2 linked regions of the Coturnix japonica genome follow. Each later gene encodes a partner of the first gene's protein in a complex. Links are inferred from orthologs where the notes say so. Each region holds a gene or a part of one and is shown on either strand. Other genes may lie near its edges.

Region 1 (4,483 bases):
CAAGCAAAACAATGACAAATTTATTCATTACTTCCCCGTGACAGGCAGATGTCCAACACTTCCTGGAAAGCATGGCCTCAATGTGAGTAATGTTAACATGGGAAGATGAGCATGATGTCACTGGGCATGGAACACCCTTCGGCTCAGCAGTCCTGGTTGTGAACTCTCCCAGCTCCTTGTCCACCTCTGGCCCATTGCTGGGCAGCAAAGTGGGGATCAACAAAAACCTTAAACACTGCCAGCAGTTCTCAACAATAGTTAAAGCACTGATGTTTTGTCAAGACTGTTTTTAGTTGCAAATCCAGCGCACAGCTCCACATGGGCTGCTCTGAAGAACATTAACTCTATTCCAGCCAGTCTCAGTACACAGAAATATTCCTGTATAATTGAATCTCTAGAGAGTGTTCACTGAGTCGTTCTGCAAGAGCTTGAGAATTTGTGTGGGCAACCAGCTGGGCTGGGTTTGAATGGAGAAGTGATAGGTTTCTTGACTTTAAATTGTCTGTAAAATCCAGTAACTGTAAATCCAGTTTGAATTGTGCCCTCCTTAGCATAAATTTTGTTATGACATTTTCTCTGCCATAAGTCTTTCTTTGTTTCGGTTGGGAAATTATATTTTACTTTATTGTATTAAACTATTAGCTGAGATTGGCAGCTGCTGGTAAAACAGCTACCGTGTGAACAGCAGCACTTTGATGTGATGGCAGTGTATGCCTGAGTTCCCCTGGAAAGTAAAGCTTTGAAATCTGTGCTCCTGTGAGGCCCCACCTGCAGTGCTGCAATCAGCCCCCAATGTCAGAAGGACACGGAGCTGTTGGAGTGGGGCCAGAGGAGCTGGGAGGATGCTCAGGGGCTGGAGCACCTCTGCTGTGGAGCCAGGCTGAGAGCTGGAGCTGTTAGGGCTGGAGGAGACTCTGGGGACTGTGGCCTCCCAGTACCTAAAAGAGACCTACAGGAGAGCTGGGGAGGGGCTCTATCAGGGAGTGTAGCGATAGGACAAGGGGTAAAAAGGCTCTAATGTAAAAGATGGTGGTCTTAGATTAGCTTCTGGGAAGATGTTTTTTACTGTTGGGGTAGTGAGGCCTCGGCAGTGCTGCCCATCCCTGGTGGGCCCTGGGTAGTCCAAGCTGGAGGGGCAGCCCATGGTGGGGTGGGGCTGGGGGCTGTGAGGTCCCTTCTGACCCAACCGTGCTGTGATTCTATCCAATGGCACTGCAGGGTTTCTGAGTCTCTCAACGGTTCCTGACTAAATTTGCTTAATTTACCACTTTAAAAACATTCTGTTCTAATTAGTGCTTGTCTGCTTTCTGACTCATACATCACTGTTTGCAATAAAGACGTTGCAACTGACATTGATAAACAACACTCTTTGATATGTGAGCCAGAATGGAATTCAGCTCATTCTCCCTGAAATGAGCTGGCTTTGCAGAGCTATCAGGAATGAAAAATTATAGAAATAAATAGACAAGGCTTGTAATTACACAGAGACAAAATGGATCAAATGGGGGAGCTTCACTTATTTATTTATTTATATTTTTTTTGTGAATATGGTCTGGGTCTGAAAGAAGTGCTGGGCTTTTCCAGGCAGAGCTGTGCTCCACACATCTCGTATATTGGAAAGATGTTCAGCTCCAGGATGCCTCGTACCACTGGAGCTCCCTGCTGACTTCGTGATGAGAAGGCCCTGCATGTGCAGAAGTCCCACCACGAAGCCTTGTTCTGAAGCTTTTGTGGGCGGTTCACCAACTGTTCTCTTCCATTTGCCCTGCACTTCTGCCTTGGCACCACTCACTACCTGCCTTTCCCACTGCTGGACCCCTGCGGTGACGCATGTCAGTCCTAAGCTTAGAACAGCAGCTGCTAACCTCAGCAGGGGCTTATTGCATCAGAGCTTTACGTGGCATATTTGTGTATTGGGAAGATAAACCCGTAATCTGATGTGCCCAGGTACAGATACGAATAGCTTCATCTGCAATTAGCTAGAGGCACTTCTCCGGTCTTGGCAACACATGAAAAGTTAACTGGGAGGGACTTAGTTCCAGAAGAGGATGTGTGGGAAGGTGGCATTTGCACACTGACAGCAGGAGGACTTTGGGGCAATCAAGGCCCACCTTTAGTTATGGGAAGCCAGGCTTTCAGTGGTAGTAATGCTTCTGTCAAATGTTCCCCACACAGAGGACGAGTTTCTCTGCTTGGTCTTCTGTTTGAAGAGAACACAAAGCTTTCTGCGTTCTCCCTTTGAACTGTTTTGCATGCACTGAACTAACTTGCAGGGAACACTGGTAAAAACATGGCAAGAATTGAAGCTGGCTTATTAAGGCCAAAGTGACACAAGCCCTTGCCCATCTCTCACCTGTGAGCTCCAGGCCTGGTGCATTCCCCCCTGCACTGTATGGAGCACTCAGGTACCTCTCCTCTGCTCTTGGCTGCATTGACATAGAAAAGTGATAAACGGAGGATGCAAAAAAGGGAAGAGATGGGGGCAAAATAGCTTTGGAAGCTCAAAGACTAATCACAATGGTGTGAACTACAAAGAATAACCTTGTTCAGCAAAGAGATTGTGGAAGGCTCCACTTTGTTCCCCTTGCTGCACATGCTGTCCCATTGTTTCTGAAAAGTCAAGAACAGATAACATCTAACAGTTGCTGACTGGCACAAAGAATGTTCCAAGCAACACTGGGCACATCAGGTAGGAAGACAGATCCAACAGCAGCTTCTCCTGCAGCTCTAATGCCCATTTACATGGAATTCATCACTTTCAGAAGGTTTCAAGGACACTAAAGATGTCTGTCACCAGAATAAGAGGTCAAATGTTGGCTTCAGCTCAGAACTTGTGCCTTGTCCACAGCCCTTCTATGGATCAAGGCAGCACAATATCTGTCCAGGACAGGTGGATGAGGTTATTTTTTATGTGCTGCCGATGTAGCTGCCATGATGCAACATGTGTATAAAGCCAAGAACAGAGAAGGTGATGCGAGTGGAAATCTGCTAGCAGGATCAGTGCTTCACTGTGTTGTTCAAACCTTTCCAGACAAATTTTGCAGCACAAAAAGCAGGTGGCAGAGAGCACATCGAAGAAGTCTATTTCATCAGCCTACCCTGCGAATGGCAGCTGTGACGGACCAGGCTGCTGTCACAGCGCTGCAGTCCTGCTGGAAGAACAGGCCCCTGCTATGGAACGAATGCACCAAGCACATCCAGCCCAGCGGCCGCTGCAGTGCCTAAAACACAAAATTCACTCCTGCTTACTTTGGTTGAGTGCAACCACAAGAAGGATCTTGTGTGCTTTGTCTTTCTCTGGCACTCTCTGCCTGTGGGCCTGGTGGTAACATGTCCCACTTCCCATATCCCTGTGTGGGTAAACTGAGGCATTTTGAACTGATGGGCGCTGCAGCCTGTGATGTGCTGATGGGGCACTCTGTGGGGCACGGGCAGTATGGGCAGCAGGCGTCCAGCCCAGACCGCAGCATGCAGTGAGTGCGCTGGGCCCAAGCAGCAGGCACTGAGCCTTCAGGCAGTGGCACAGAACACTGGGGAGCGATGCTTGCAGGTGGGGCTGCCCTCTGGTTTAGGCTCCCACACAAGCAGTGCAGAGCTACCTGTCTATGTATGACCATGAACCATGGTCTCCAACAATGACAGCATGGGCCAGAAACAGGTGTCACCTTAATACCCACCCAGAAAAGCCAATTACCCCTGGATGATTATGATTAATAACTCTCTAAGTCCTAATCGTGCTGACACTGACGCCTGGAGCTTACTGCAGGGGGCACTTTATAAGTGACGCCCTACAGCTGCTTCTCTGCAGGGAGACGGCGAAGGCTGAGCAGCAGTGGGAGCCCAACTGCAGGGGTGATTCCCCACACACAAGAAACTGACGCTGAGTCTGACTGAGAGGCGCCCCACAAACCGCAGCCATGAATGGGACGGAAGGCCAAGACTTCTACGTGCCCATGTCCAACAAGACGGGGGTGGTGCGAAGCCCCTTCGAGTACCCCCAGTACTACCTGGCTGAGCCCTGGAAGTTCTCGGCACTGGCTGCCTACATGTTCATGCTGATCCTGCTTGGGTTCCCTGTCAACTTCCTCACACTGTACGTCACCATCCAGCACAAGAAACTCCGGACGCCTCTAAACTACATCCTCCTGAACCTGGCGGTCGCCGACCTCTTCATGGTCTTTGGAGGCTTCACGACCACCATGTACACCTCGATGAACGGGTACTTTGTCTTTGGAGTAACAGGGTGCTACATTGAGGGCTTCTTTGCTACGCTGGGCGGTGAGTTCTCTATATTTTCAAAAATCTGACAGAAATTTCCCCAGGTTTTAGGGGGGGGGATAACGTGCGGCTGCTCCTGGGAAGCTGGGTGGTGTGTACCAGGCCCTGCTGCTGCTATGGGCTGTGGCGTCTGCAGCGCATCAGGGTGGGAGTTGAAGGAAGTGGCAAATGGCAGTTCTTTGTGGAATTTTGGTATCCACCTGTT
Region 2 (4,596 bases), on another chromosome or scaffold:
ATAGAACAGAGGCAGTACAGAACCACAGGCTCTGCCCTCAGCTCCCTCAGGAGGAATTACCCCATTGCTGGCAGAGTGGCTGTTTCTCACAGTGCAGGGCATTTCTGAAGTCCCAGGTGAGGCACAGCACCTCGGTACGTTCCCTGTTAGCTGATCATCGTGCTGACAAGAAGCCCTTCCCACTGGGCTCCATATAGGCAGACTGGGGGAAGACCTGCCTTGCTTGCCACAATGCCAGTCCTTTCCTGCATAGACATGACACACTGGGGCCTGAAATTAAGCCAGGCAAATAACCATGAGTCAGGAGAAAAGGCGCAGTGTTTTGCTTGATGAATAGCAGCAAACAAACAGCAACAGATGGGGAGGAGGGATGAATTCCTGATGCACTCCCTACTGCCCGCCTAGGCAGTCTACAAGCACTAAATTCTGGCTCTTCCAGCCCTCCCACCATGGCCTTCTTGTCCTAAAAGAATCCAAGCAATCGTAAAAAATAACATACCCTGGACTTTGATCTTCTTCACTGTTTTCTCTGTGCTGTTGTTGACCATGACAGTGACTGGAATGGGCTCACCATGGTAGTACACCTAGGGGGAAACTGATGCTCAAAAACCCAGTCAGAAAGCTTCTCCCAGGCCATAAACCACTCAGATCCCCACAGAGGCCAGATAAAGTAAGGTGACCCTTCCCAATCCTGTCTCCAATGCCCACCTTGGCCTCAAATGACTCTGATAACAGTGTCCCTCTTTCCTCTAGCAGAAACTACTAACAAAATATCACATTAGAAAATTAGGACAAAGCTGGATCAGCTGAGACAGAGTCTGGTAACACAGAAAACAGCTGTTTGGGTAACAAAATGCATATGGGTATTGAAGTACAACCACGTCCACATCTCAGGGGCAAACTCCTCACCTCTTTACTGAGGGAGGCTTTCAGGTGCAGTGGCTTGTTGGACATGAAGAACTGCCACGTGGTCTCCGCGCATGGTTGGGGTCCTGGTTCTTCTGGAGCAAACTGCACTTTACGGATCAGCAGCCGTGCGGAGTTCCTGGGAAGCAGCAGAAGATGCCAGGATGGTACCTTGTGTTTGGCTGAGGCAGGAGTTTTGCACTCACACAGGCTTAGTTAAACTCAAGAAGTCCACCGACAAGTGGAACAATGAAGACATACATTAATACTGTGCTGTTACCTCTTATGAACTCTCTCTTCCAAATTCTCTGTTGAAAAAGCTTTCACCTCGAAGTCCACCCCGCAGCTCTGCCAGAGAGAGAGGACAGCTGTGAAACCAGCGTCACAAGCCACACCTGCAGATGTTCAAGCATCTTTCTGTGTCCTAGAAACTGGTGGATTCCTGACAACTGCAAATTCTTCTGGCCTATGACACACCTGGTGTGTGTCAGCATCCACCTGCTCCATGCTACAAAGTTTATATTGCTATACCTGGCTTTAGGCCTAGCCCAGCTGTTCAGAGAAGCATCCTGTGAAGTACAGGAGGACTGTTTTAAATGTCAGAAACCTAGCAGAACATCTCACTGTTTGGTGATATGTCCTCCAGAGGCTGGTTTTTATTGATACACACATACGAAACAGATCTTCTCTGTTACCCTTAAGGAAATGGCAAGCACTGCAGATTTAGCACAGCCTTGCAGCTATTGAGCTAGATTGTCTTCCTTATTTTGAGGAATTGAATTCCACCTGTAGCTCTTACAGTCAGGTTCCTGACATTCGTGGCACAGCAAAGTCCATGGCAAACACCAGTGCACCAGTCTCACCTTATCAACATCACGAGGTGAAGGCTGCAAACAGACTGAACAAGGCAGGTAATCTGGGAACTGTGGGAACAAAAAGAACCCAGAGCAATATTATGCAGATTACTGTGATATCCGAATTAACTTACTGCTCACAAAAGGTACAACATAGCCCCGAAGACAATAGGTCATGTACATACAGCAACCCTGTGAAGTTCCAGCTCAGAGAGAAGCTGGGTGTTATTGCTTACCATACATGAACAAAGCCTTATAGGAAGAAAGGGACTTAGAATACTAACAACTGAGAAAACACAGAAAAAAAGTAAAAAGAGGCCCAGAAACATAGAGCTCCTGGGTTTATAACCAAACACTAGAGCACTGGAGATGCAGATTAGAGGCTGGGATATCTGGCTCCCATCCAGGATCATCAACATGGCTCACAGTGGTGCCAGTCACTGTTCACACAGGCTTGAAGCTCAAGCAAGGCATCTCTGTTCCAGAAACACAGCCATTAATGGCTGTTAAACCAGCCAGCCTCCAGGCAGTGTCCATTTGCTGCTGGTCTGCACAGGGTCAACAGCTTCACCAACAAGAAAGGCTGCAGAAAAGAGGGTCAGGAGCTCTTAAGAGATACTCACTGTAAAGAAAAAGGGGTAAGCATTTTTCCCCAGCTTCTTTAGCAGAGATTCCTGCAGGTGGGAGAGAGACTCTGACTTGTTTTCAGGTGGGTACACCTGGACCCTAGAGAAGAACAGGTCTCTCCGGAAGGTGAGGCCAATCACGTCAATGTCCTCCTGACCATACCGGAAAGCACAGGTCAGAGTCACGTACACTGGAAGGAAACACAGCCAGCCATGTAAAATCCTGCACTAGTCATGGAAACTCCTTTCAACACTGTTGTGTAACCCAGTTAGTATTCATATTTTAAGTTTCTAGACACATTTCTTTGAGTAAAAACCTGTATTGCATAAAGCCTCAAACCTTTTTTCCCCTTGATCGCTGTAGGATCCACCAATACAACACCATCTGAAAGAAAGGAAAATTAAAAGGATTACCAGAGGATAATCAGGCTTAGGAGAGCAGGAAGGGCAGCGTGCACACTTGTGGACTTACCCACAGGTTCCACATTCCCTATGTTGTCAATGAAGTCACGCTTTCCCAGGTAGATGGTCAGCTGTAGGGAAAAGGTGACCATGGTTGAACTACAAAGTGTTGATGGTTGTGTGCTCGTGGAGTGGGAGGATGTAGTATGGAACAGTAAATTACTTAGAGAATGGAGCAATCCCATTTTAAGCATGTTTATTTTTCCTCCCCACCAAACAACCTACACCGGGCTCAGGACAATCCACACGCTTTGGGACAACAGGAGATTGGAGCCAACGTGCAACAGCTCCAAGAAGTAAAACACAAATACCTGCAGATGGGACAGAGCTATGGATGTAAATATTTCTGATGCCATCAGATTCACTACCAAACAGTGAGTCACTTTTGGTTCATACATTTACCAGCAGGACTGCAACCTGGGGGAATGAGAGTTGCCTTTTATGCAAGACCACAAGCAGCTCTCCCATATGAGCTTTGTTTACACTGTCTCCTAAATACACACTAAATATGGGTCATGGGTCCTTCTTCAGAAAAATGAGAGGACAGGAAAGAGGTTTGTATTAAGTCTTCATCTCGACTACATGTGAAACTCGTACCTATTTCCACCCATTATGACGGTACTTACAGCTTTGTCACGGGAGCTTTTCTTGAAGATAACTTGTTTTGGAGTGGAATCAGCATTCTTCCCTGTCTTCTGAGATTCGGGGCAGCTCATGACCAATGAACAAGTAGGTAACTATGGATGAACAAACTTCTTCTCCCTCAAAGAATCCTGGGAGACTCAAAGGTTCCTGGGAGAGACATCAGAGGTGAGGGTGAAAAAGAAAAAAGGATGAGGTAAAAATGTAGGCACAACAGTTGGGTAAAACATTCTAGTTTGCCAATCTGACTCTCCCAATGGATGCTTGAGTTCAATACAAAGGTGGTCTCCGTATAAGGGGGCAGCTCTTCAGAAACATTGCAGGAGACCGAGGACTTTTTTTTCTGTCATTCAAAACATTATATGGCCAGTTAAAAAAATCCAGAGGCAAAGAGGTAGCTTGGCCTTTACAGATAGATTTGAAGAGAGACTTTCCGCGGAGTACACAAGTAGAGATAAAGCTGATCTGATCTAGACAGGCACTTCAGTTTTCAGAAGGTTTGTCACCAGAGGCTCTACATTGTCATGAGTCAAGAAGGCAGGTCAATCTCAGTCAATAACTAGATAGGATACAGGAAATAAGGAATACAATTTATGTGGATTTTGGCTACTTTCAGGTTTGGGATTTATTTTTCACTATTGCAAGCGTACACTAGAGCTCTTTCACCTGTCCTGGGACGTTTGCTAATGAACAAAGTCTTGGATGTCCTGGAACATCTGCCACTGAACGTAGCCCTGTGTGAACGCAAAGGAGCCTAGATAAGGAGTGAAGAAATGAGAACATGAAAAAAAAAAGGTTGTCTGTGCTAAGTTAGAGGAGTGCTTCACCAAGCAGAGTGGGGAGGTGCTCAAACACCATGGCAGTGAGTGCAAAGTATCACACACAAGGAAAATACAACCGCTGTCTGATATGCGCAGTTATAGTTTCTACCTCATAGGAAGAAAGTCTTGCGGTAAGCAGGGAAGTTATTAGGAAACAGAGCATGCTGTTGATGCTATTTTAGAACCCCTGATGCATCCACATCTTGGAGCCAGCACGCTCAGTTTAAGACCCTGAACAGTGGTATGCAGGACAAGGTGCAGTGGGCACAATTTGGAACACAGGAA

The links.
Region 2: the proteins of RHO (region 1) and SAG are in contact, whole or in part, in a crystal structure (PDB 4PXF), measured with the Bos taurus proteins. The link is inferred for Coturnix japonica from reciprocal best matches to the Homo sapiens genes RHO and SAG. Residues at the interface, in NP_001014890.1 of Bos taurus: Arg135, Val138, Val139, Lys141, Leu226, Glu249, Val250, Met253, Met309, Asn310, Lys311, Gln312; in XP_010802144.1 of Bos taurus: Asp71, Ile72, Met75, Gly76, Leu77.

What each region holds. Positions count from the first base shown.
Region 1 is NC_029527.1:16,836,802-16,841,284, forward strand, and holds the start of RHO (rhodopsin), read left to right. Parts: upstream 1-1,555; 5' UTR 1,556-3,917; coding exon 3,918-4,278; intron 4,279-4,483. UniProt on the Homo sapiens protein: Photoreceptor required for image-forming vision at low light intensity. Required for photoreceptor cell viability after birth.
Region 2 is NC_029524.1:1,894,591-1,899,186, forward strand, and holds the start of SAG (S-arrestin), read right to left. Parts: upstream 3,058-4,596; 5' UTR 3,043-3,057; coding exon 2,859-3,042; intron 2,772-2,858; coding exon 2,727-2,771; intron 2,578-2,726; coding exon 2,384-2,577; intron 1,830-2,383; coding exon 1,770-1,829; intron 1,255-1,769; coding exon 1,187-1,254; intron 1,046-1,186; coding exon 910-1,045; intron 585-909; coding exon 500-584; intron 1-499. UniProt on the Homo sapiens protein: Binds to photoactivated, phosphorylated RHO and terminates RHO signaling via G-proteins by competing with G-proteins for the same binding site on RHO. May play a role in preventing light-dependent degeneration of retinal photoreceptor cells.